Mus musculus: one gene and its partners. The protein of the gene in region 4 interacts with the protein of the main gene of each other region in a pairwise test. Links are inferred from orthologs where the notes say so. Each region holds a gene or a part of one and is shown on either strand. Other genes may lie near its edges. The genes, in order: Lzts2, Trim23, Ccdc184 and Gpank1.

Region 1 (5,965 bases), on a different chromosome or scaffold from region 4:
CATCCTGCTGGCGGAAGAAGGTGGGCCCAGGGACACCATGATGTCGTTGAGGAGCAGGTCCCCCGGGGCAGGGCCGGCCTGAGATAAGACTGCTCACGCTGCCCATTGCTGGAGTTTTGGGGGCAGTGGCTGTCTCACGTGCGGGCTCCAGAGGCACTGGCAGAGTGTGCACAATGGCCATGGTGGCAGAGGCTCAGGTCTGGCCAGGGGCCTCCGGGGCAACCTGTGAGCAGGGCATTGGTGTCAGAGTCCCTGCACCTTGAGGATCCTCCCCCTATAAGCCTTCTCCTGACCCCCTCCTCCAGATAGAACATTCCCCATTTAGGAAAAAGGCTTCCCTTCCAAGAACTGGCATGAACCTCGAGTTCCTCTGGGCCTCAACTCTAGTCTGGAACAAGGCTAAGGAATAACTTGACCACACAGAGAGGAAGGAATGGGAGATCTAAACATTTATACAGGGTTCCTTGGCAGAGAAGACCTAGTTTAAGCCCCAACCTGTATCCCCTATATAGCCAAAGACTCAGATTGGGCAGAGATCCCTAACTCTAGCTCCCAGTACAGGTCCCTACTCTCCTGGGACAGGTGGCCTCATTACTGGGCTGTTTGGGCAGAGGACACGTCAGGGATGCAATCAGCAACTCAGATGGTAATTAGGGAACAAAGAGTCAAAGCCAGGCGCTGTCCAGCCTCCCACCACTGGGCCTCAGTTTCTCCCAGACACTCAGGCGGCTTCGAGGGTGGAGCTGGCCAAACAGGAAACCTTACAGGTCTTAGGAATCCACAGGTGCCCTCTGGGGTCTCTCCTACCTCCCAGAGGTTGATGCAGGCTGTGCTTGTTTCCATGTCACTCTTAGCTTCTGCCATCACTCGGGACTAAGGGAGCCTACCCAGGCCCTGTCCCACTGCCAACCTTTATAAACCTTCCTGCTTTAGTTGATCTTCAGAATAACCCCTATGGAATTTGAGCAGGAGCCCATTACCACGTCTAGTAGGAGCTCAAGTAAGATGGCTGGCTCCGCCTCCCCTAGTCTTACTCCTTCCTGGAAAGAACAGCAAGCCTGCACCCAGAACGGAACTCCCGCCCAGTCCCAAGGCTGCCGATGACCAAGACTTAGGCATCTGCTGAAGTCATCACAGAGCAAAGGGGCCAAAAAGTGGACTGAGGATCCATGAGAAAGAAGAATGTGTGTGTGTGTGTATGTGTGTGTGTGTGTATGTGTGTGTGTGTGTACATTTACTTGTGGGTGTGAGTACATAGACAGGGTCATAAAAAAATGAACAGTATCTGTGAGAATATGCATGAAACTGTGCAGTCCATGTGGGTTTAGACAGATGTCAGTACGTTCATACATGTGTGTATATGTGTGTGTGTGATGTAGGGGACATGACAAAACCAAACAGGGTTGTGCTATGTACCATAGGTGGGCCTCAAACTCAGATCCTCCTGCCTCAGAGAGCTGGGATTCTAACCTTGTGCAAATATGCCGAGCTGTATGTGTGGTTTTTTTTGTTTTTGGTTTTGGTTTTGGTTTTTCGAGACAGGTTCTCTCTGTATAGCCCTGGCTATCCTGGAACTCACTCTGTAGACCAGGCTGGCCCTGAAATCAGAAATCGGCCTGCTTCTGCCTCTGCTTCTAAAGTGCTGGGATTAAAGGTGTGCGCCACCACTGCCCACTGTGAATTCTTTTTTGCTGTTTTGTTTGTTTTTTGTTTGTTTGTTTTTCCAAGACAGGGTTTCTCTGTGTAGCCCTGGCTGCCCTGGAACTTGCTCTGTAGAGCAGGCTGGCCTTGAATTCAGAGATCCACCTCTTACTGCCTTCTGAGGGCTGGAATTAAAGGCGTGTGTGTTACCACCACCAGGCTGTATGTGTGAATTCTTATGTTTTACAAAGTTATGAGTTTCGTAACTTAGAAAGCACACCACACAGTTATTAATGTGTATAAAACAAATGAATCTGTGGGCTCTGGATGTCACTATATGGCAAAAAGAGAAATGTTTGGATAGATATACCAGTTTGTGCACACATATGTGAGGTTTGTGTAAATACCACTAAATCTTCCAGTCACCTATCCTCAGTAAGCCATTCTGCTTCTTCTCCTAGCATGAAATTCTAGGGAAAATCCTCCTTTCTTTGGGTCCATTGAGTCAAGTCTCTCATAGACTGAGACACACAAATCTCTACAGGACGCCTGCAGTTCTCCTGGGACAGTTACATGGATTCCTACTGTACACAAGAAAAGTGTGTGAAAGCTCCCCAGGACCAATCTGTATAAGTGAGCGTTCTGGGAGTGCATGAGGACCTGGGTGACATTCAAAGCCACCAATGTGAATGGGGACTCCTCCTCCCTAAAACTTTTTTTTAACTTAAGAGTTTGAGGAAAGGTGAGATCACAGTGCCTGACGCCCTTGCCCCATCTTATCTTTGTATATTGTTCTCCACTAAGTGCCTCTAAGTGTTAAGACCAGAGACTCACAGGAGTCCAGCGTGAGGAAGGAGTTGCTAAGAGCTAGGGTAGGAACTGAAGTGTAGCAACTTCTCTGTAGGGTAGGTACTGAGATCGCCCCCAAAAGGTCCAGCCTAGGGATGGAGACTGCTCCACAGTATAGTGAGGAGTGAGAAGGGGCTGGCACTCCTGTCCCTACTCCAGAGGACACAGAAAGTGAGACCCAGAAGGAAGGGCAAGGGCCGGGGTAGACACTCAGAGAGACAGGAGCCAGAAGACAGAAGAGACAAAGGCCAAGAGGCTCAGACACGAGGAGCCAGAGGCAGACCCATGAGTTAGGGTCGCTGAAGCTACACAGGCAAGGACCCCTAAAGCCAGAGGAGCCACAGAGCTGAGCTCTGAGGGCCAGGCGTCAGGAAAGCCAGGCCTAGCCAGCCTGGCTCCCGCTTTTGAGGCCCAAGAGAGAAGGAGGGGCAAGCGGCTCCATTTTGAGAAATGCGTTTGTAGCTGTGGGAAAAAGAAAGCCCTGGTTCTCCCCAGCACTCCCTGACCTATCACTATGGTACACAGACCCCTGCGCCCCCACCCCAGCAAGTAAGCTGGGGGTTCTAGAGTCTGGGGCCGCGCCAGGGCCTGAGATGAGTCTGGCCCACGTCCCAACTCTCTGACCTCAGGGCTGGGGTTGGAGAGTTGGGGAAAGTCCCCCCAAACACACACACTCAAACTCCAGAGACCAGTCAAGCAGGATCCAGTCTGGGATCACGAGTTGCCATTCCGAGACTGAAAGCCCAGAGTCGTCGTGTCCCCCCACCCCCCCCCCCGCCACCCACAATAGTCCGCTCCTTCCATAAACTGGGGGCGTCTATGGAATGCCACCTCCCCACCGGACCGCATCGCTTAGAAGTTGGGGCACCCTCAGCCCTGGACCCCTCACCTCCGCCGCGCTGCTCCATGCTCAGCCCCGGGCCGCCCCAGCACTCCACAGGCGCGCCGCCCGCTCCAGCCCGCGCGCGGCCACTCGGAGCTGCCCGGCTCGGCCCCGCCTCCGCCCAGCCGGCGCCCCCGGCCCTGACCGGCCCCCGCCCGGCCCGAGTGGGCGGTGCGCACTGATGGGGGGAGGGGTCCGAGGGGCGTTCCCGCCCCGGGGAGCGGACACGCGCAAGTAACCCACGTCACGCGTGCCAGCCAGGGCGCACGCGGGGGCTGCTCGGCGGCGCTCGGGATTCCTCCCAGAGTGGCCTAGCAACTGTGTGTGTGTGTGTGTGTTGTGTGTGTGTGTGTGTGTGTGTGTGTGTGTGTGTGTGTGTGTGTGTGTGTGTGTGTGTGTGTGTTAAGTGTGGTGTGTGTGTGTGCTCGGTAGCGCTCGGGATTCCTCCCAGAGTGGCCTAGCGACTCTGTGTGTGTGTGTGTGTGTGTGTGTGTGTGTGTGTGTGTGTGTGTGTGTTAGGAGGCTCGGCCGGCTCGAGACTCATCGAGCCGGGTCACCATCGCCTATCCCTGCCGGAGCCCAAGGGCCAGCGGCAGCTGGTCATTGTTCCAGCACAAAGAGCCAAGGCGCGGCGCCAGCCCCGCCCCTCCCCCTCCGCTCCTCTAGGAGAAGCTTCCCTCCTCAGTCTCCAGCTTCCCGGTCCATGGGGAGGCCGAGGGGGTCAGCCATCCCTCTCCAGTTGCCGGCTCCTGGGCACAAGTTGAGGGACTGGCTCGGTCGCTGTCTGTCCCACCCCCAGCAGGCTGGAGGTCACACGCTTGGATTTTCCAAATCGGCGCCACCTGGTGGCCCTTTCCAGCAACTTACCAGCCCCCCCCCCCCAAGACCCCCACCAATCCCACTCCCTTTCCAGCACAGCACCCTCGGGCCGCGAGCCCAGGCTTGTCCCTGGCATGGCTCCAGCCTCCCTAGCCGAACCTCGGGGGTCATTTGCTATGAGAAGGGTCGCTGCTCAAAGGGGGTGGGAGGGATACCTGACCCCCAATAATCTCAAGAACGAACAGCTCAAACCTACACTGGCTCCGCAGCAGACATCCCAAAGTCTCTCTTGGGGTCACAAATATTTTTACCCTCTCGAAAACAACAGTCTTAACACCCACACGACCTTTCCCACATTCAGTCTCGGGCAGCCACAGTCAGTCTCATCCATCACGTGGCTCCATAGATCTTCATTCCATAATCCTTCAGGCCAACTCACAGAAGGCTTGGTGTTTCGTGCACGGGAGAGTGCACAACAGTCCTTTGCATCCAGTCACATTCTTTAAATACACTCAGCCTCCCAACCCTCTTCCACGCAATGACAGCCGGATTCAGCCACTCTGGAAACTTCTTACATCATATTCACAAACTACCCACTTTCCCTGAGGGGTCTCTGTGACCTGCTCAGGTCAGCCGACCTCACATGTTCTGGCAAGGCCATCCTCCCTTCCCCGATCCCCCCCGCCCCCCCCCCCAAGGTCTGCCAGAGCTGGGCTCAGCCCCAGGAAGAAGCACCCCCCCCCCTTCCAGGCCACAGCCTGGCCGGCTCTCAGCTCTATTTTTAGCTCCATGGAAAGGGTTGTTTTTCTTTCTTTTTCCCTGGAAAGGAAAACACAGCCTAGCCACCCTCAGGCTCACTCCAGCCCCTCAGCTTCACAAGAACATACCGAACCCCTCTCCCTAACAGAAACCCCCTCCTCTGGCCTTGCCCTGATCCCTGCCTCCTGGGGCACCGAGAACCTCCTCCCCTTTCTGGCCTCCAGCCCAGAAGCTCAGGCAGCAGCTGGGCTCAGCATGTGGCCGGGTGAGGGGTGGGGGGAATGAAGGATGGGGGCCGGAGGGGGAAGAGGCTGCAGCCCCCTCTTTCACTTTCAGAGAGGGGACTCTGATCTTTCTTCCACCTAGAGGAGACACACTCCCCTTAGGTTTAAGGATATATTTACTCTTGGTGCGTTCCCTTTGAGGAGGGGTGAGGGGAGACTCTTCTCGCTTGAGTGGGCTATTTGTGCCCAGTCCTGCAAGGGGTGGAGGTGGCGGTAGGAAGAGGACGTAAAGACAGAGCTGTATGAGACCGGGGCAGCTGTCTGGGGCCATCAAGGTCCTTTCGGATACCTTTCAAGGATACGGGTTCCAAGAACGTGCTAGTGAGCTCCAAGGCAAGGAGCCCAAGTTAGCCCCAACCCTCTCCAGGTCTCCGGGTCACCCAGGCCCCCAGGGGCGTTGAGCTCCCATTCTGGGTGAGAGGATTTATCATCATTCCAGGTGAAGTGTGGAATAAAGCTCCATACAGGGCGAAACAAACATGCTAGGACCAGCGGAGAGGTAGATGAGAGGGGTGTCCCTGCCTAGACAGGAGTTGGGGAGCACTACCCACCCGGCTGCGAAGCAATCACGTGCTCAACGCCTGTTTACGTCTTGGTCTTCACCTGCAGGCAGCCGGCTGGGAAGCAGGAACCGCCTGGTGCGACAAACCCCGCCCGCCCCCGCCGATAGTCTCAGGGCGTCCCCTTTCTCTCACTCAGCCTTGGGCAGAAAAACTCAGCGTCCAGGTCG
Region 2 (5,923 bases), on a different chromosome or scaffold from region 4:
CTACAAAAACTATGACCCTGATTTCTGTCGTGATGTCACAACAAAACCAGTCTGATTCTTAAGAATTAAGAGGTAACTGTATAATGAATCATTTTACAGCCTTAAAATAACCATATTTTTCCTAAGATTAAGTTTTAGTATAGACTTAATATGTGATGACATAGTCTTTAAGTACTTGAGAATGATCACTTCTTGACCTTTTCTGGCTTACAATCAAGGATGAGGAATTAATGAGCTTATTTTTGTTTTCTTTACCCCTTTTCAGTGTAAAGAAGGACATCAAGAATTCTTTTATTGTTGTCTGAACATATTCAGTGATATACTAAAGAAACAAGTGAAATTTTGAGAGCTCTTTTTAGGTCAAATGTAGTTTCAAGAAAAACAAAAGGGAGTGAGGATGTAGCTCAGTCAGTAGAGTGCTTGCCTAGCATGCACAAAGCCCTGGGTTCAAATCCCAGCATACCATAAACTGGGTATAATGGTGCTCATCTGTGATCTGAGCATCTGGAAGGTGGAGGCGAGGGGGCCGGGGACACTTGGTCATTCTCAGCCACACTGAGAGTTTAAGGTCAAGTCACTAAGTGTCTTCTCTTTCTACAAATGAAGAATAATAACAAATACAACTCCCTACCACTGAGATTTTTGGTAGCTTCTAAGTTGTGTGAAATCACACTTAGCAGCTCATATAATTGTTTTAAGTTCATATAGAAATCATAACGATCCATGAAAGAGCTGTTTCATTTTCTAGGAGGCAACAATACCTTAGAAAGATGATTTTTGAATTATTGCCCTGATCTCTTACTAGACATGTTATCTTGGAAAAGCTGCTAGACCTTAAAAGATAAGTTATCTTTTAAGCCCACACACTAGATGTAAGACGGAGATAATGAATATCCAGTAAGTTCCTTTCAAACACATATAATCTATTTTAGTCTAGATCGTGTGGAAGTCTACAGGTCTCATTGTTGTATTGATAAATATTGCAAACCTTCTTAGTTCCACATTCATAGACAGTCATATTAACTGCAGACATCAAAACAGGATTGTAGGTTAGGAATGGAACTGGCGAGCTTCTGGAATGCAAGATGTGTATGGAGCTCACAGAGAATGAGGGAGGAATGTGGAGTATATCAAAAGGGATGCCTTAAAGAAGGTTAAGTGCAATTCAATCTAGTTTAAATGTCTTGTAACCATTTCTCCCTATCAGTTGAAGTCACTGTTAACTTTATAAATGCACATCCCAAAAGCAAGAAAGTGCATTGTGGCAGTAGCAAACATAAAAAAGAGGCTGAAAATGTTTTTAAATAAAAGGTTATCGATAAGCAAATTCAAGGAAAATCTGACCTCTTATCTTTTTTTTTCTGATCAAATTAAATCATTAAAACGTATTCAAAACTTCTGCGTATAGACAGTTAAAGTTGTTAAGATAGTCTAGTCAATTTTCCCACAAACATGATACTACAGTATGAATTAATTTGTAGTATATTTCAACAAATCTAAGAAGTATTAGGTGTAGTTCCACTTATTTCAAATCCTTGGTATTATCGTGCTACACTATCTACAGATAAGTTAAATTCTGGTAACTTCATCCCTGCGCCATGGACAGATTTAGGAGCAATTTTTGAAAAAAACATATCAAATGCCAGCTGAAATTTATGCTGGTTCACAGAGATCTCTGCGGCAGGGTCGAGGCGCGTGAGCTTCAGTGGACAAAACGTGGTGGCTGCGGTAGCAGAGACCTCTCAGAGCTTGGGTTCGCATTTCATTCCAGGAAGAGCAGGAAGGCGAGTTGCCGGGGTTAGGGACAAGGCCTACTTCGGGGATCCTTCGCACAATGAGGGTACAGGCAAACAACAGAGTGAGGAGTCTCAGGTTAGCAAGTTTACCTTTTAGCGCCAGCAGGTGCTCCTGTTTGGGGGGATTCACTTCCATCTTGGCGGGCACTTCTGACCTCAGCCTACGCAGGCTGAAGTTTCACCGGGTCTGGAAGGAAAGTGCAAAGCACAGGTCCCGGAAGATCGGGCTTCAAACGCACGCCCGACTTCTTTCTGCTCGTGAGGACTTAAATTCTCTTGTCACTAAATCCTTTACGGCCCCAGTGAAATCTTTGTACCATGGCCATTCCTTAGCTCAGAAGCACACACTTGCCTCAACCACTAAGGCTGACTACAACGATCCACTTCTTGCTGACAATTCGCGGCTTCCCAAAAGCTTTCATTGCCCGGTGGGGGTGGGGGAGGGCGCTACTGTCATGGCATGCTGGGATTTGTAGTTCATCATATACAAATTTCGCAGTGTACGCGGGGCAGGTGGCATGTAGCTCAGTCCTTTATTCTGATTCGTTTCAGTTCTAGAGAAAAAATATTGTTACAGGAATGTCATTTTCACCATAAAATTTTATTTATGTTCCATACTTAAAAAAAAAAAATTTCTCCTCTCCATTACTCGCAGATGCTTTCATGAAAAACAGTGCGCACGCGCAAGCCGTACAGCCAATGACTGACGGGAGAGAAAAGGTCAGAAGGGACCGAACGGCTCGCCATCTATCCTGCGCATGCGTGAGGGCGGCATGCGCCGAGGCTTCTGGGTAGGACGCTCAACCCCTCCTCTCAGTAAAAGGCTCTCCTGCAGCTGTGGCGCGGCTCCATCCAGGATGGCTGCCCTCGCTGTAAACAAGCCCGGAGCCGGAGTAGACAGTGGGCGGCAGGGCAGCCGGGGGACGGCTGTGGTGAAGGTGAGGGAACTTGCGTGCTCTGTTCTCCACCTGCGGCCTCCCTTCGGTTCGTCCTGGAGACCTGGCCGCGACTGTGTGGCCCAGGCTTGGCCGGGTGGGATGCGCGGCCTCTGGTGGGCGTTACAAGCCTTTCCGCCCTTCCGCGGTCCTTGCCCCGCGGAGCTGAAGTTGCCTGGTCTTCTACCTCAAGTGTCAACGTTGTCCGTGGGGCTGTTTGTGAAAAGCATCGCGTGAAAGTTGACCTGGATTTATTTGGTCTTTCCCCTAGTCTTCTGTTTCTAGTGATGCCTCAACAGGCGTTACTTACTTGACTTGGTTGTATTAAACACTTATTGCAATAGACAAGTACTGTCGTAGATGGTTCAGCTCGCAAATATCTACTTAAAAGGTAGATGTTAAATCGCATTTTACATGGGAGGAACCCTAGGTTTAAGTTAATACAGTATGTGCTAAGGGCTCAGAGTTTACTGGTTGTCAACGTCTGCCATTCAACATTGCCCTGAACAGTAGAGACTGGAAACTTCTGAACTCTCCAACTGCAGCACATTTGGGCTTTAACACTAGATGTATGGAGTTTATAACTCTCTGGTTAGAAGATTCTACCGTCTACTTATTTACGAGCTACATTTACTAAAAATTAAGTGCAAGTGTGAAGATCATTTTCCTCACCCACTGTAACCTAGATCTAAAAGGGGCAGGCGTTTTAGGGAGTCACTCGGAAAGATTATCTGTTGCCAAGAGATTAAACAACAACTCTTTCTGAGTGTGTTGACGACAGGACATTTTTTTAATTCCCAGAAGTAATTTTAATGGACACTTGGATTTATAACAGTGAACCCAAGTCTGGTTGGACATTCTTTTAACTCGTTAAATGGTAGATATCTCTTTCTGTCTCTGTCTCTCTCTATAGCAAAGGTCTGCTTTTGAGGAATATATGCCTACGATGTATTATCAGTCGTATTTTATTGGTGTTGAATCAGTTAACTTTTTATATTAATGAAATTTAGAGAAGCCCTCATTAAGCATATTTTGTGCTTATTGAGATTTAATATTTTGAATTGTGTTTTTGCCAAATGGGAATACTTGCAGAATATTTTGTCATTCTTTTCCTATAATTGGAATATCATGTCTAATTCTCCTTAACACTTCGTTTTACTTTACTCATAAAGTATTCTGCATATGTACATGAAAAACATAACGGTTGTAGTTATGGCATATGAATGCACTATAATTTCCCTTTCAATTTAGTATTTATATGTATCTTTCCTTGTTTTTAATTAATGATACAAATAGTGCTTTAAAGAGTTACACACTGGTTTTGTCATATGTGGGCTGGATGTTATTCACTAGTAGACCATTTACCTGCTATGTGCAGGAACCTGAGATTTCCCAGTGGCAGAAACAGCAATAGCAACAAAGAAGAAAGCACTTGGATCCTGTCATGTATGTATGACGCAGTTTAGAGTAAGTTCCATAAGTACTGCTAAATTGTGTCCATGAATGCTATTATTAGTCAATAGACTTTTTGTATTAGTCAGTGAAATTGTTTTCCTATACTTCTATTAATACAAAACTTTAACAACTTTTTGAAAAAAATATCTTGATGTAGTTATTCTTTGTTCTCTAATGAGTTAGACTGAAATCTTAATATAAAGTTTTCTTTAACATTTAGCAGGTATTTATCTCTTTTTTTTCCCTATGAATTATACCACATTTAAGTTTCTTTTGAATTATTACCAGTATGTGAGGTAACTACAAATTACCAGTTTAATTGTAGTAAAAGAAATTTGTATCTCAGTTTCTAAGTCTAAATGTATTAGAGAATCAAGTTGTCTTCTGACCTCCATACTTGTTCTGTGGCACCTTATATATGTGTGTGCACACACATCCACACATAGAAAATAGCATAAACTTGTAAAAGATTAATGGAGTCATACTATATGTCAAAAATTGAATAATTTATCTATCTATAGAAGAAAGCAAGGGTGTCTCTATTTTAGGTTTTAAAATACTAAGAAACATGCCTGGCTTGGTCAATTGTTTTTAAATCTAAAATATGTGAATATTGTTTCAGTAGTGTTTACAGGGCACATGTTTCTGTTTTATATACAGGTTCTGGAGTGTGGGGTTTGTGAAGATGTCTTCTCTTTGCAAGGAGATAAAGTTCCTCGCCTCCTCCTCTGTGGCCACACAGTCTGTCATGACTGTCTTACTCGCTTGCCTCTGCATGGAAGAGCAATACGTTGCCCATTTGATCGACAAGTAACAGACCTAGGTAGGAAAATTATATGAGGTTAAAGTGAAAAATTATTCAAACACAAATGTCACAGAAAACAAATTTTTACACCTGACTTTTTATGTTACGTTCCAAAGAGCTTTCACAATCTGAGTCTCTACTAAGGTAGATGAGGTCCACTCTTAACTGCCATGGGAATCTGAAACTTCCATAGCTATGCTTAACACAAAAAGCTTTAAGAAGTATCAGAAATATATGCTACCCTTATTCAAAGAAATGAGACTACTTTATTCATCCCAGGTTAAGTCCTACTAATGCTCTGAATACAGAACATGGTTTCTTTTTTTAAATGAAAGGTAATCAAAATATAAAGTCATTCAACTCTCAGTATTTCCTCCCTCCCTCACTCCTTCCTTCCTTTTTTCTCTTCCTTCCTTTCGTCGAGATAGGGTTTCTCTGTGTAGCCCTGGCTGTCCTGAAACTTGGTTTGTGGATCAGACTGGCCTTGACTGAGATCTGTCTGCCTCTAGCTCCCCAGTCCTGAATTAGAGGTGTGCACCACCATGGCCTCCTAGGTCCTTGCATGTTTTTACAACTACTTGGGAATCAGTGTTGACATATTTTAAATGTAAAAGTGTGTGTGTGTGGGTTTACCCAAATCCAGTTAGGTTGGCAGAAGATGCCTTTATCCAAAGATCTATCTCACTGGCTCAGGTTTAGAAAGTACAACATTAACATTTGAACAGTTATTTCACAGTTTAATGTAAATTCTTAATTTATTCTGTAAGATAAAAGAATTTTTCCCAAAATTTTTTAAGGCTGACTTTTTTCCCCTCAGGTGTTTATCAGTACTTAAGACCAGGGCTCGTGGAAGGAGTGAACCGACTCCTGACCTCCATACTTGCTCTGTTGCACCTTATATATGTGTGTGCACACACATCCACACATAGAAA
Region 3 (5,843 bases), on a different chromosome or scaffold from region 4:
CTGTATACCTCAAGGCTTCCTCTGGTGTCGTCCCAAACAGTTCTCTCCTGGCTTTTCTGTGGGCACCGTTTGTGCACGTGCGTACACAGAGGCACAAATGCACAGGTACATCAGTAATAAGCATTTAAAACCCGGGGTGGGGAGTTGTCTCTAGACCTTCCCTGGGTTCTGCTTCGCTGGAGGAGTCATCCCCACTCTACCTGGCCAGGAGAACCACCGAGAAGCTAACATTTGCACAAGATGTCCTAGGAGTCATAGTTTTATTCCTAGCATATGCATTGTGAAGAGCAAGTCTTAGGCAGTCAACTCAGTGTTGGAATTAAAAACTCAAACCTGCATCAAACCCTTCAGTGTCCTTTAGCCTTCTCTGTAACAGAAGTAATTTACATCTCTCTCTCTCACTCACACACACACACACACACACACACACACACACACACACACACACACACATCATAGTCGGCTCTCAACCTTTGTTCTGGGGCAGCCTCAGGAAATCTCCATCTCCCGAGGGAGCAGCCTCGAGATGATGTCAGTGTTGACTCCCCGGGGAGTACCTTGCCCACATCTTCCACTAGAGGCCTGAGGCAGTGCCTGTGGTTTCCTTAGTGATGTGTCACTCCACTCCAGAAACCCCGGGCAACCCCTCCAGAACAGTGACTCCCACTCCATCCCTAGAACAGGTGGCATGCCTGCTGTACCAGGGCTCTCACTCAGAAGTCACCCCCATGGCTTGCTTCACTGAAATCTCTTGCAGGTGTGGAGTGCTGGCTACCAAAACCCTTGTTAGCCGGGCCGGGTATTTCCAGGCAGATCTCTGCATTTTCCAGGTCCACATTGGATCAAGGTCCAGGGCAGAAGGGAAAGCAGACAGAGCTGGCAAGCTTGTCCCAACCAGGACAAAGTCAGTTAACTCTTTGGGACTGGAGGCAAGAAGAGAGGAGGGAAGGCATTGGTCCCCTACATTTTCTCCTAAGCCCTGATCCACACAGCAGACCCAGAAGCCCCAGCCTTAAACCCACTTAGTACCAGTCAGCAAGAGGGGAGATGGTGCCTTTTTATTAAGGTTGACATCAAGCAAAGCACTAAGAAAGGATACACAGAGGAGGGAAGGGGCACACACAGTCACCACTTCGGAAGGTAGGAGCACATCAGTTAAGGACACTCAGGACAGCCACATGCTCCGTGCCCTGGGTTGAGGAGTGGGGCATAAAAGGGAAAAGAGCAGAAAGCGCCATGATAGCCTGGGGCTTGCAGACGGGTCTGAAGCCCCCTGAACCTAATACTAGAGCCACAAGCCCTGCCCCTGAGGGCTCACACACTACTACACAAGTGGACACACATAACACAAGACATTATGGAGGCAACACCAGAAAGCAGAGGGTACCGACATATTGACAGGAAAAAAAAAATAATAAAAGGAACTGAAGTTAAGCAGGTATAGCCAGAAAAGACAGCTTGGGGCTGCAGCGCCCCCTCCCCCAAGAGTTCCTCAGATGTCCCCTTAAATCTGGACAGTTGCTGAGCAGTCCTAAGTCTCTGCCTGCGACCTGAGCACTTTGTTCTCTAGGCCCAGGTGAGTGGCCAAGCAATCCCAGGTGAAGTCAGCGACGGGGCAGGCTCGGCTCTGCATGCTCAGTGCCAGAGCTTGAGCTCTTGTGTCTTCATGCACATCAGAGCCAGCTCCTCCCAGCCTAGGGGCCCTGGGAACCCGAGTACCCTGACTCCTAGGGCCGCAGTTCCCTCCTCAAGCTTCCTTTACCCATCAGCAGTTGCAGAGCGATCTGTAAGGGGGAGAGGTTTCCGCAGAGCACTGAATATCTTGGGTTTGGGGAAAAGGGTAAATTTCCTGTTGCCAGAACAGAATACCCCAACTCCTTAATTTCTAGGTAAATAGAGATTATTTGCCAAAGTCCTAGATGACTCCTTTTTCAGAATAGAAAAAGCAGAATTTTATTTACATAATTCAATGGTCCTCCTGTTTCCTAGGAAGAGGGGAAGGGGGCAAGGTAAAGGGATAGATGAGAGTCCAGAGATGGGCACGTCCTTTCTGGGAACCTCACCTTTCTGCAGTTTGCTATGATGCCTGCTTGGGTGGAATTCGCGATGCTTCCAAAGTCCTTGACTCTACAAATCCTTCTGTGAGGGAGTCTCTCTCCCTGACCTATAAGGACCACGTTTGAAGTGAAGAACACTGCACCGCACTGTTCAGTCCCCTCGGGTTAAGCACTTGGAAACCCAAAGCCAGCGCGGGTAGTTGGTTCCCTGGTGGGGTCTCCCTCACAGAGAGGCCTCGCCCTCCAGCTGCAGCAGGGTAATGTCAGGAAGGTCGGGGGGCTCCACAAGTGGCCCATCCTCCCCAAGGAGACCGGGGCTCTCAGAGAGCTCGCAGTGACTGGTGGGTGTGGCGGGGTTAGGTGTCTCTTTCTCCTCTTCGTCCTCGTCTTCATCAGGATCACGACCCAGCAAGCCGCTGTCCTCGATCCCAGGCGAAGGTGTCTCTGGTTCATGGGGAACACTTGGGAAGCTCCCCTTGCCGCCGGCCACGCCCAAGCCTCCCTGGCGGGGCGCAGTGGTCATAATCTGGCACATGGAGACTATAGCCCGCTGGTTGGCGCACACGTCGTCCGACAGAACCTGGATGTGCGAGGCCTGCTCGTCCAGTGCCCCTCGCATGGCCCTCACGTCCTCAAACAGGGCCTGCAGCTGGGCCTTCAGGTGCTCCATCAGTTCCTTCATACCGCCGTTATACTCCCCAGAGATCACGTCCCCCACGGCGGGCACCGTGGACACCTCCAGAGGCGCTGGCATGTCGCCGCCGTCCTTGGTCATGATCTCCAGCAGACTGTCCTCCATTGAGTGGCAGAAGCGGGCGGTGGCAGCTCTGGGTCGTGTCCAGCGGGCCTCCAGGGTGGGGGAAGGGTGTGGAGGGGGAGAGGTCCCGGGAGGGACGGGGTGGAGCCCAGGGACACCTAGGCTCCCTAGAGGGGCGGGGAGCCTACGTGAAGAGAGCGGCCCCAGGCAGAGGACACGGGCGGGATCAAGGAGGGCTGAGAAGAGTCTATGGATCGAAGACCTGTCTAGGGTCCCGGGACCAGGATCTTCGGGCTTACCCAGGGGGCAAAAGTGGCTTGCCCGCTCGCCTCCAGTGTGGTACCTATGTCCCCGCCGCCCTCCCGGCAATCACCGACAAAGAGTGCTCACAGGTCACAGAGGCGCTCGCAGAGGGCTCGGGGTCGAGACGGGGACCCGCAGCGCGTCAGTCTCGGGACTCCCCCCAGCCATCCACCAGCAGTGCCCGCGAGTGCGGCTGGAGAGGCAGGGGCGGGTCTCCCGGCGGCGCCGCGGATGCTCCCCCGTTTCCAAGGCGACGCACGGCACGTAAATGACGTGTGTCTCCATGGCAACGAGGAAGTGAGGAAGAAAGAGAACAGGGTTCCGAAGCTGCAGTGAAGCTCTGTTGTATGGGCTGACGGGCGGGGCAGGGATGCTGCAGTAGCCTCAGAGAAGCTGCAAAGAGCATGTGGCTGCAATGTTTAATAGGACAGCATGAGAAAGCAGTTTGCTGCACGACCCCCACCCCCAAGCCGGAGAGAGACCGTCTGCCTGGGGGGGGGGGGGGGGCTTTTCACCCGCTCTCCGCATTCCTTCCTTGGAGGACCATGGGAGAGCCAGGTCCATCCTCCAGCGGCCCACAGGACTGGGTAGCGATTGTTAATAATCCCAGGCGAGCTGGCAGCACCAGGCTTGGAGGTGCAGAGGAAGGCGGAGGGAGGCGCGACCGATCTGCTTCTCCCTTCTGCAGCAAAAAAAAAAAAAAAAAAAAAAAAAAAAAAAAAAAAAAAACAAAAAACAATTTTCCCTCCCTCCAGAAAGCTCAGGGTGAGATACAGTCTCTTATGGGACCCAGCTGTTTCTACCCAGGTTGGGGGGGTATGAAAATTATGAAGCTAAGTACTTAAATTCCGAGAATGAAAACTCCATAACAACAGATTCCCCTCCCCTGCACCCTCCATCACGGAATCCCCAGCGCTTTAAATAGCGTCCGAGACGCAGAGAGCAGATGATGTATTTGTGGAATAGCTACTTAAATAAGAGCCACCAAGTACCATTCTCCTCCCCAGGATTCTCCAGCCCACACATAGTGGACTTCAGAAGACCTGAATACAATTTCCTTTCAGCCCTTAATGACTGAGAGACCTCAGCTGACATCGTTTTCTTGACGGACCGAATAATAGTGTTTCTAAATCTGAGTTAACACTGGACCGAAGTGCAATTGAGTGAATTATTAGGGCCAGCGCCCCTAGTTCCCATCTTTAGATGCCCACTAACCACCCCTGTCCTTTGTGAAAACTCCTTCCCCTACTTAGAGGGTAGAGCAGGAGAAGAGGAGGAGGAAGAAAATTTGGTTATAATATATTTAGAGACGACATAGGCTGGGAAGGTAGTCATCTTGTAGGCTATAACACGCTGACATCGCTTTGATAAAAGGAAGCCAAGTGGTCAAAACCCTGAGTTTACAAGACTCTGGGAAGGAGAAGTAAATGAACAGTGCTGTCTAACTGTATAAAAAATTAAGTGTGGGTGAGTGTCATTGGTCACCTGTAGTTCAGTAACTGCAAGTGTGTTTTTTAATTTCCCTGGTTGTATGTCTTGGCGATGAAGAGTGTCCAGCCAGGTTTTTGAGGCACCAAAGAACAGATTCATCTATGCCTGTCTTACTGCTACTGTTAAAATAAAAGCAAATTAAACTATCTTAAAGTGCCCAGGGTCGGAATGTTTACATAAATAACTTAAGACATATATTGGACAGATGTGAGAAATTTGATTTCCCCAAAACAAAGATGAACACACACACACACCATGCAGTATTGCTTTCTAAAAACTAATGATTAATCTTGTTTCCTTGCTCCTTCAACAAATTTGTTGTTGCTCTTGCCTCTGCCATTCTTGCCATACATGGTCAATAAACTTTAGATGATCCCTAAGCTGGCTCATGAAAGAGCAGAACACTTTTTCTTGGTATCCCTCGGCACAGAGAGTTATACTTTGACTCTCACAGGCTCACCATAACACACATGCACTCGTGTGCAAATGTCTGCTGTTTGTTTTGTTTTCAAACTACAGGAGAACTAGAAACAGAGGCAAGATGCAGCTGAGCTTACCCAGTATGACATCTAATCACGATGTAGCAAAGGTTCTCAGAGCTTTGCAGGACCAGTCCTGCTGTCGTCCCTCCCATGGGAACCTTACTATAGTAAGAAAAGACTGGCATGTTCTGCAGTCTTTCTGCCATGGGCCATTCCTCCCCATCTCTTCTGTGGCACCTCGCATGAAGAATTCTATCTTGATGGTTCTCTTCCAGAGTGCTCCCTGCCTTCTACCCTTGAAGACCGATCCTGTTCTCAGTGAAATGCTTCCCACGTTTGCTGCCAAGATAGGCTTACGTCAGACCTAGCCCTGCTCAGTAGGAGCTGGGTTATGCCATCACACAAGGCCCTTGGCCACTATTGTTGCAGGTACTGTGTGTCAGGGCTTTCAGCATCAGAATATCATGTCGCTCAGAGGCTCTGACCATGCAGCACCCAGAGAGCACAAGGGGTCTGGGCCAAGAGGGAGGGGAATTTCCTGGAGAAGCACTGAAGATCATGGGAAGCAGGTGCAGAGGCCCAGGAGCGTGGCTGATCCAGTCCAATTCCAGGTCAGACATTTGAGAGGGTAGGTGGGAACTTGGGGAGTGGGGTGGGAACTTGGGGGTGGGGCTTGAAAATATAGGGAGGAAACATTGGTTATGTTTGATTAAGAAAAACAGATTTCATAAATTCTGCATGAAAATCAGAGAT
Region 4 (5,586 bases):
GGCGTAGAGAGAGGACCACCTAAGACCAGACCCTGAGCACGAACCCGGGTTCGGCTGCTCACCTCCCAGACCTTCCCGCCGCTGACACTGGTTAGGTATTCTAGCCCTTAGTTTGGGATTTTTTTGTTTTGTTTTTCAATGTAACTTTAGCTATCTTGAATTAGCTCGGTAGACCAGACTGGCCTTGAACTCAAAAGAGATCTGCCCGCCTCTTGTCTCCTTGATTAAAGGCACGCTGCACCACTGCCCAGCTTTGTTTTTAAGGACAGGTCCCCTATATATGTAGCTTAGATCCATATATATATATATATATATATATATAGCTCAGGATATATATAGCTCAGGAAAGGCTTGGACATATGTTGCCCAGACTGCCTTTGAGTCGATCCTCTTGCCACTGCTTCCCTGTGTGACGATTCCAGCCTCTCTGTGGTTCTTTCTCACAACCCCCGCCATTCCTCCATTTCTCACCTGAGATATCTTGTAATGCTGGTCCAGAAAGGTAAATAACAGGAGCCACGTGATTTAAGCAGCCGCCCTTTGGCCTTCCAGACTGGGATTTGAAAGCTTTCATGTTCCTAGCACTCTGTATAAGCATCTCAAGGGATTGGGGGTGCCAAGTACGTAAGAGAAGTGTAGAAAAGCATATTGCCTGGTTTTCAGGGAGTGAAATGATCTCTTAGGACTGCCTTAAGCCTTGGAATCCTAACTCAGTAAGCAGGTATGAAGCCCTAGGTTAAGCCCCATGTAGCACTCCAGAACCAGTTTTAGCTGAGTTTGATGCCAGCCTGGTCTACACATAGTGAGAGACTGTGTCTCAAAAAACAAAAAGAAAAAAAGTTCATCTTGAACTTTTTATCTGGGAGGTCAGAGCTCTGGTCACAGCTAGAATGTCACACAGGTTGGATGACATTAGTTGTATTGGCCAATCCTGCAGGACTCTACTTCCTCTCTGGGGACTTTTAACTTCCCTACCACAAGGTATTACACTTCATCACAGCTGGCTTCCTCAAGTTCAAGGTTTGTATCAGGCAGAGCAGAGCAAAGTATCTTTGGCTTTTCTCCCAATGTCAGCAGCATCTTTTGGATGCATCTTGTCTTGGAGAGGGGCCCCACCCAGGGTCTTCCCAGTGTTAGGCAGGTGCTCTAACCAAGCTATGCCCGCCCCTCTCCAACACATAGCACACTTGGTTTGTGATACTTGTCACTGACTTGACTGGCCTAGACACATACTCAGAGGGGTGTTTTACAAAGTGGGGCAATTCCTAATGTGTGTGTGGGGGCGGGGATTCAAGGAGCAGGTAGAATGCAGCCAGCAGGACTGGGGACTCTCTTTTGTCACCCGGAGAGCTTGTCCTTTTGGCTCAGGTGAGACTTCTATGTGACTCTCAGATTTGTTCCAATTCCCTACTATATCATTCAAGAAAGTAAACAAACCACAAGGAAGGAAGTTTATTTATCTCCCAACTCTCCGCCCTTCTCTCTAAAATCAGAGCCCAACAGCTAAGGCCTAAGGGTTCGGAAGTCCAAGTGTCCAAGTCAGAGGCCCAAGTCCAGCGAGTGACAGACCAGGGCCAGTCCATATCAGTCAGAACTCGAGGTTCATGTACAGTCTTAGATCTCGCTCCCAGGCTCTGCCCTTTTCTTCTTGCCTTCTGTTCTCCCTCTGACTCAGTGTGGCAACTCGAGGGACTCTCTCTCTCCCAGACACAGCCCGGGTATCCCGCGCTGCAAAGTGTGTGACTCGGGGTTGGGGTGGGGATCTATAACCCAATCCTTCCTGGTCCCTCTTGAGGATAGTGGGGATAGGGTTGGCACGGCCTTCACCCCGGGGTCCTAGCCCCATTCCTGGTTCCCAGCCACCTCTCAGCAGTAGCCTGAAGCCAGGACTGGAAGTGGGCACCCCAAGGGGAAGGTTGGAGGGCTGGGGTCTCCTGGACAGTGACAGCAGGTGAGCAGTAGATGTGTGGTGGTTGGAGTCTTCAAAGTGGGCACCACAGTCCTCACAGAACTGGGACGAGGAGGGGGTAGATCTGCAGAGAAAGAAATATGTTATAGGGGAGGAAAAAAAAAGATGAACAGAGCCTCAAGTTGTTCAGGCACCAGGCAGAGCAGAGCAAAGTACTTTTTGCCTTTCTCCCAATGTCAGCAGCATCTTTTGGTTGTATCTTGTCTTGGAAAGGGGCCCCAGGGTCTTCCCAGTAGGGAATATTTGGAATACTGTCAGGTAGGCCTCAAGCTCTCAGGAATAATGAGTAGTGCTGGCATTTATAAAGTGCAAACTGTGTGACAAGCACCATCCCATCCTACCCCATCTCTTTCCACATTAACCTACTGTATCTTAACACCCCTTTGAGGAAAAAGTCTTAGCCCCAATTCTCAGACAAGGACTGAGATTTGCAGACTTTAGGCTGGCACTGCAAATAAATGGAACCAAGATTCAAATGCACAAAGACCACGCCCATTGTTACTCTATGACTGAATATGCCAGAGGATGAATAGCCCCCTTTAGCTGCTGTGGGCCCTTAGTATGAGGTGCCCAGGAAAGGAAGAACACAATAAAGATGGGTGTAAGTGAAGGCTCCCTCCTCACCGGTTCTGGTTCTCAGGGCTCCTTGTCTCTCCATGACTCTCTCTGACCATACGGGCTACCTCAGGGAAGCCTGCTTCTTCAGCCAGCTGGGCAGCATCTCTGCCTCCCAGGTCACAGACTCCAACCCAGGCAGCTCCTCGGCCCAGGAGATAGCGCACAGCGGCGCCCTGGCCTGCTCGGGCAGCACACATCAAGGGAGTCCACCAGAAGGCATCACGAGCATTGATATTCCCTCCAGCTCCCCCTGCCTCTTGGGGTTCTAGCAGCCTCCGGAGTTCTGTCAGATCCCCATTCTGGGCTGCCAGCAGGATCCACTGGGCCATCCTGTCTTCATCCTCAAGTGCTCTTCCTTGTCTGGGGACTCCTGCTGCTGCAGGCTCCCTAGTCACTCTTCTTCTCTTCTTCTTCCTCTCCCTCATAGGTTCAGCTCTCTGGGGCTTAGAGGAACTACTGTCATCTGCGATTAGAGCCTCATAGAAAGCCCGGGCAGCAGCCCCGTCCAGGACAGGCTCTGCTTTCTCCTGCTGTGGTTGCTGCTGCCCATCCTTCCAGAGGTCACTGGAGTCAGCCGCTGGGGTAAATTCGATGAAGGATGGCCTAGACATGCCTGTGAGAGAAACAAGAAAATGAAGACTGGGCAAGGCAAGGATGTGACAAGCAAGCGATCCAACCATTCAGGTAGCTATTGTGAAGATGACCAGCACCACCTCTGGGGGCCCGCTGAGATGGGAAAGCAGCCTAGAACTAAAATGGGCCTCCCATCCCAAAACTGACTTCATAGTTAGGATTCTGTGGAGCCCGGGCCTCATGGGTAAAAGGGACCCCAGGAATAACAACAGATCCTGTCACGATGGGATGGGTAAAACAGACCCCAGGAACAACAGATCCTGTCATGATGTTAATAAAATTTCATGAGGGCATAGTAGATATGAATCTGTGTAGAATGCTTGTTTCAAATTTGAGAATTCTAGATTCTATCAATAACACAGAAAAGAAAAAGGGTAACAGGAAAAAAATATTCTACAAGACAGTTGTTAATGGGTTCTGTATTCAACTCCCATCTTCCTACAAACAAAAATGCCAGGCTCTCTCTGAAAACATTCCGCTAACACATACAGGAAATATAAGGTCGACACCCCCCCCCCTTTTTTTTTCGAGACAGGGTTTCTCTGTATAGCCCTGGCTGTCCTGGAACTCACTCTGTAGACCAGACTGGCCTCGATCTCAGAAATCTGCCAGCTTCTGCCTCCCAAGTGCTGGGATTAAAGGCGTGCGCCACCACTGGCCCGCACAGGTCGACCTTTTAAATCTTGCTCGATCTTATCTAGGGGTCCCCTTTTCCCAGATTAAAAACAGGCATGACATTACTCCGGGAGGTTTCTGGGGAAGCTGCATTGTCACTTCTGTACCGCAAAATGTCGCTCTTGTAATCTGTAAGATTGGATACAATCAAATAGCCACAGGGCAGAACGAGGCATGCGCAGGAGCAACAACAACAAAACATCCATAAGGTTCAAGTTTCCCGCGCTAGAACCTTTTCTAGCATCCTCGTAGTAAAGCATCGCGTGCCCAGTAGCGCGAGGACCCAAGGGGGAGCCTGTCGGTTGGGGTCCTGCTTTTACATAACGCCCCCACAATGCCCTTCGCCACCCTCCGCGTTCAGAAAGACTCTGAGGACACAGTGGGGAGACCTGTGGGATGCCGAGGAGCTGTGAGATGAAGTAACATCACGGTTACCCCTCACCACTGCTCTGAGCAGGGTTTGAAGAACAGTCAGGGTCATCAGCACAACTCTCTACCCCAGCTCTGAGGAGATGGAGAAGTACAAAGGGACAAGCGGCGGCAGAATGGCTGGCCCCACCTCAGGTTAGCTCGCAGGGCGGTCCAGGTTCTCACGCAGCGTGCACAGCTCAGCGCATCCCAAGCACACCCGACCTAAGTCCCTCACCACAACTCTGCGCATGCCGGAGCCCGAGCGCACTCTGTCGCGGGCCTGGCGAGAGAACCAGGATCCCGTGGGTTGGCCTGGCACAGGGAAGAGGGAGAAAAAAAAGCAAAGCGGAACGCTGAGGGAGCACCGCAGGGATGACAATCAGCCCGAGGACCTACCCGGCAGCTTAGCGAGCCTAACAAGACTATATTTCCCAGGCTTCCTGGTCGGGAAGACCCCCTGCTCCGCTTCCGCTTCCGGTGGCGCCTCGGTTCGCCCCGCCCCCAGGCGGCTTCCTCTAGGGCCTCGCGGCCCTTAGAGAGTCATGCGCGGGTCCTCTTGGGATTGGTAGTTTGTCTTCCCCTCATTTCGTCAGTTTCTCTCTGCCGACGGGACTACATCTCCCGGCGTCCACGGAGGTAGGGGGCGGTTCTTAGCGCCTGCGCGTTGCCCTTTTCTCACCCAAATCCTCACCAGTTTCCAGTGGCCCCCCCCCTCCCTACTTCGTCTGCTGCGGCCGGGTCGGCTTTTTGCGCTGTAGTGGTCTCTGCGGTTCCTTGGAAGCACAGCTCCCCTTCCCCGCCCCAGTCCCAGTCCCCGTCCGGCCGGTGAGTGTGGGGTTGTCCCCGCGTCGAGTCGCCCGTCCCTGGGCGCGGCACTCTGGTTGGAGCTCCTCGATGTGGGGGCGACGAAGGAAGTGACCGGGTCGGTAGCCGAAGGAGGTCGGGGGCCCTGGGCGAGAGGAGGCGGCTTTTGGGGACGCTCGTGAGACCCACAGAAGTGTGGTGCCTTCGCCAACCCTGCGAGTGCAGGAGAGGCCGGCTCTGTTGGGGAAAATGAACTTCGGAAGCCTTGGGACAGGCGCCAGGAACATGCAGGCACCTGCGGTGGTGGGGAGCCGGAGCCGAGGGCCCTGTCGCGGCTGACATGGAGGGGAGAGGGGCCTGGCTTTGAGGAGCGCCAGGGACGAGGGTCACACTAACAGATCAGGACCTGTCATTTTCTGGAAAGTAGCGAAACTTATTGCCAGCACACTGCAAGGGGGCTGAGGTGAAGGAGAGAA

What was found.
Region 1: the proteins of Gpank1 (region 4) and Lzts2 interact in binary tests that used the Homo sapiens proteins (3 or more experiments, as listed by UniProt). The two-hybrid records come from large-scale screens. The link is inferred for Mus musculus from reciprocal best matches to the Homo sapiens genes GPANK1 and LZTS2.
Region 2: the proteins of Gpank1 (region 4) and Trim23 interact in binary tests that used the Homo sapiens proteins (3 or more experiments, as listed by UniProt). The link is inferred for Mus musculus from reciprocal best matches to the Homo sapiens genes GPANK1 and TRIM23.
Region 3: the proteins of Gpank1 (region 4) and Ccdc184 interact in binary tests that used the Homo sapiens proteins (3 or more experiments, as listed by UniProt). The two-hybrid records come from large-scale screens. The link is inferred for Mus musculus from reciprocal best matches to the Homo sapiens genes GPANK1 and CCDC184.

Annotation. Positions count from the first base shown.
Region 1 is NC_000085.6:45,015,645-45,021,609, reverse strand, and holds the start of Lzts2 (leucine zipper putative tumor suppressor 2), read right to left. Parts: upstream 3,476-5,965; 5' UTR 3,380-3,475; intron 224-3,379; 5' UTR 182-223; coding exon 1-181. UniProt on the Homo sapiens protein: Negative regulator of katanin-mediated microtubule severing and release from the centrosome. Required for central spindle formation and the completion of cytokinesis.
Region 2 is NC_000079.6:104,176,228-104,182,150, forward strand, and holds the start of Trim23 (E3 ubiquitin-protein ligase TRIM23), read left to right. Parts: upstream 1-2,611; 5' UTR 2,612-2,653; coding exon 2,654-2,734; intron 2,735-4,846; coding exon 4,847-5,009; intron 5,010-5,923. Other genes in the region: Trappc13 (trafficking protein particle complex subunit 13), read right to left, coding at 1,887-1,932.
Region 3 is NC_000081.6:98,165,329-98,171,171, reverse strand, and holds Ccdc184 (coiled-coil domain-containing protein 184), read right to left. Parts: upstream 3,367-5,843; 5' UTR 2,857-3,366; coding exon 2,281-2,856; 3' UTR 1,038-2,280; downstream 1-1,037.
Region 4 is NC_000083.6:35,120,667-35,126,252, reverse strand, and holds Gpank1 (G patch domain and ankyrin repeat-containing protein 1 isoform 1 precursor), read right to left. Parts: upstream 3,302-5,586; 5' UTR 3,268-3,301; coding exon 2,594-3,267; intron 2,034-2,593; coding exon 1,589-2,033; 3' UTR 1,438-1,588; downstream 1-1,437.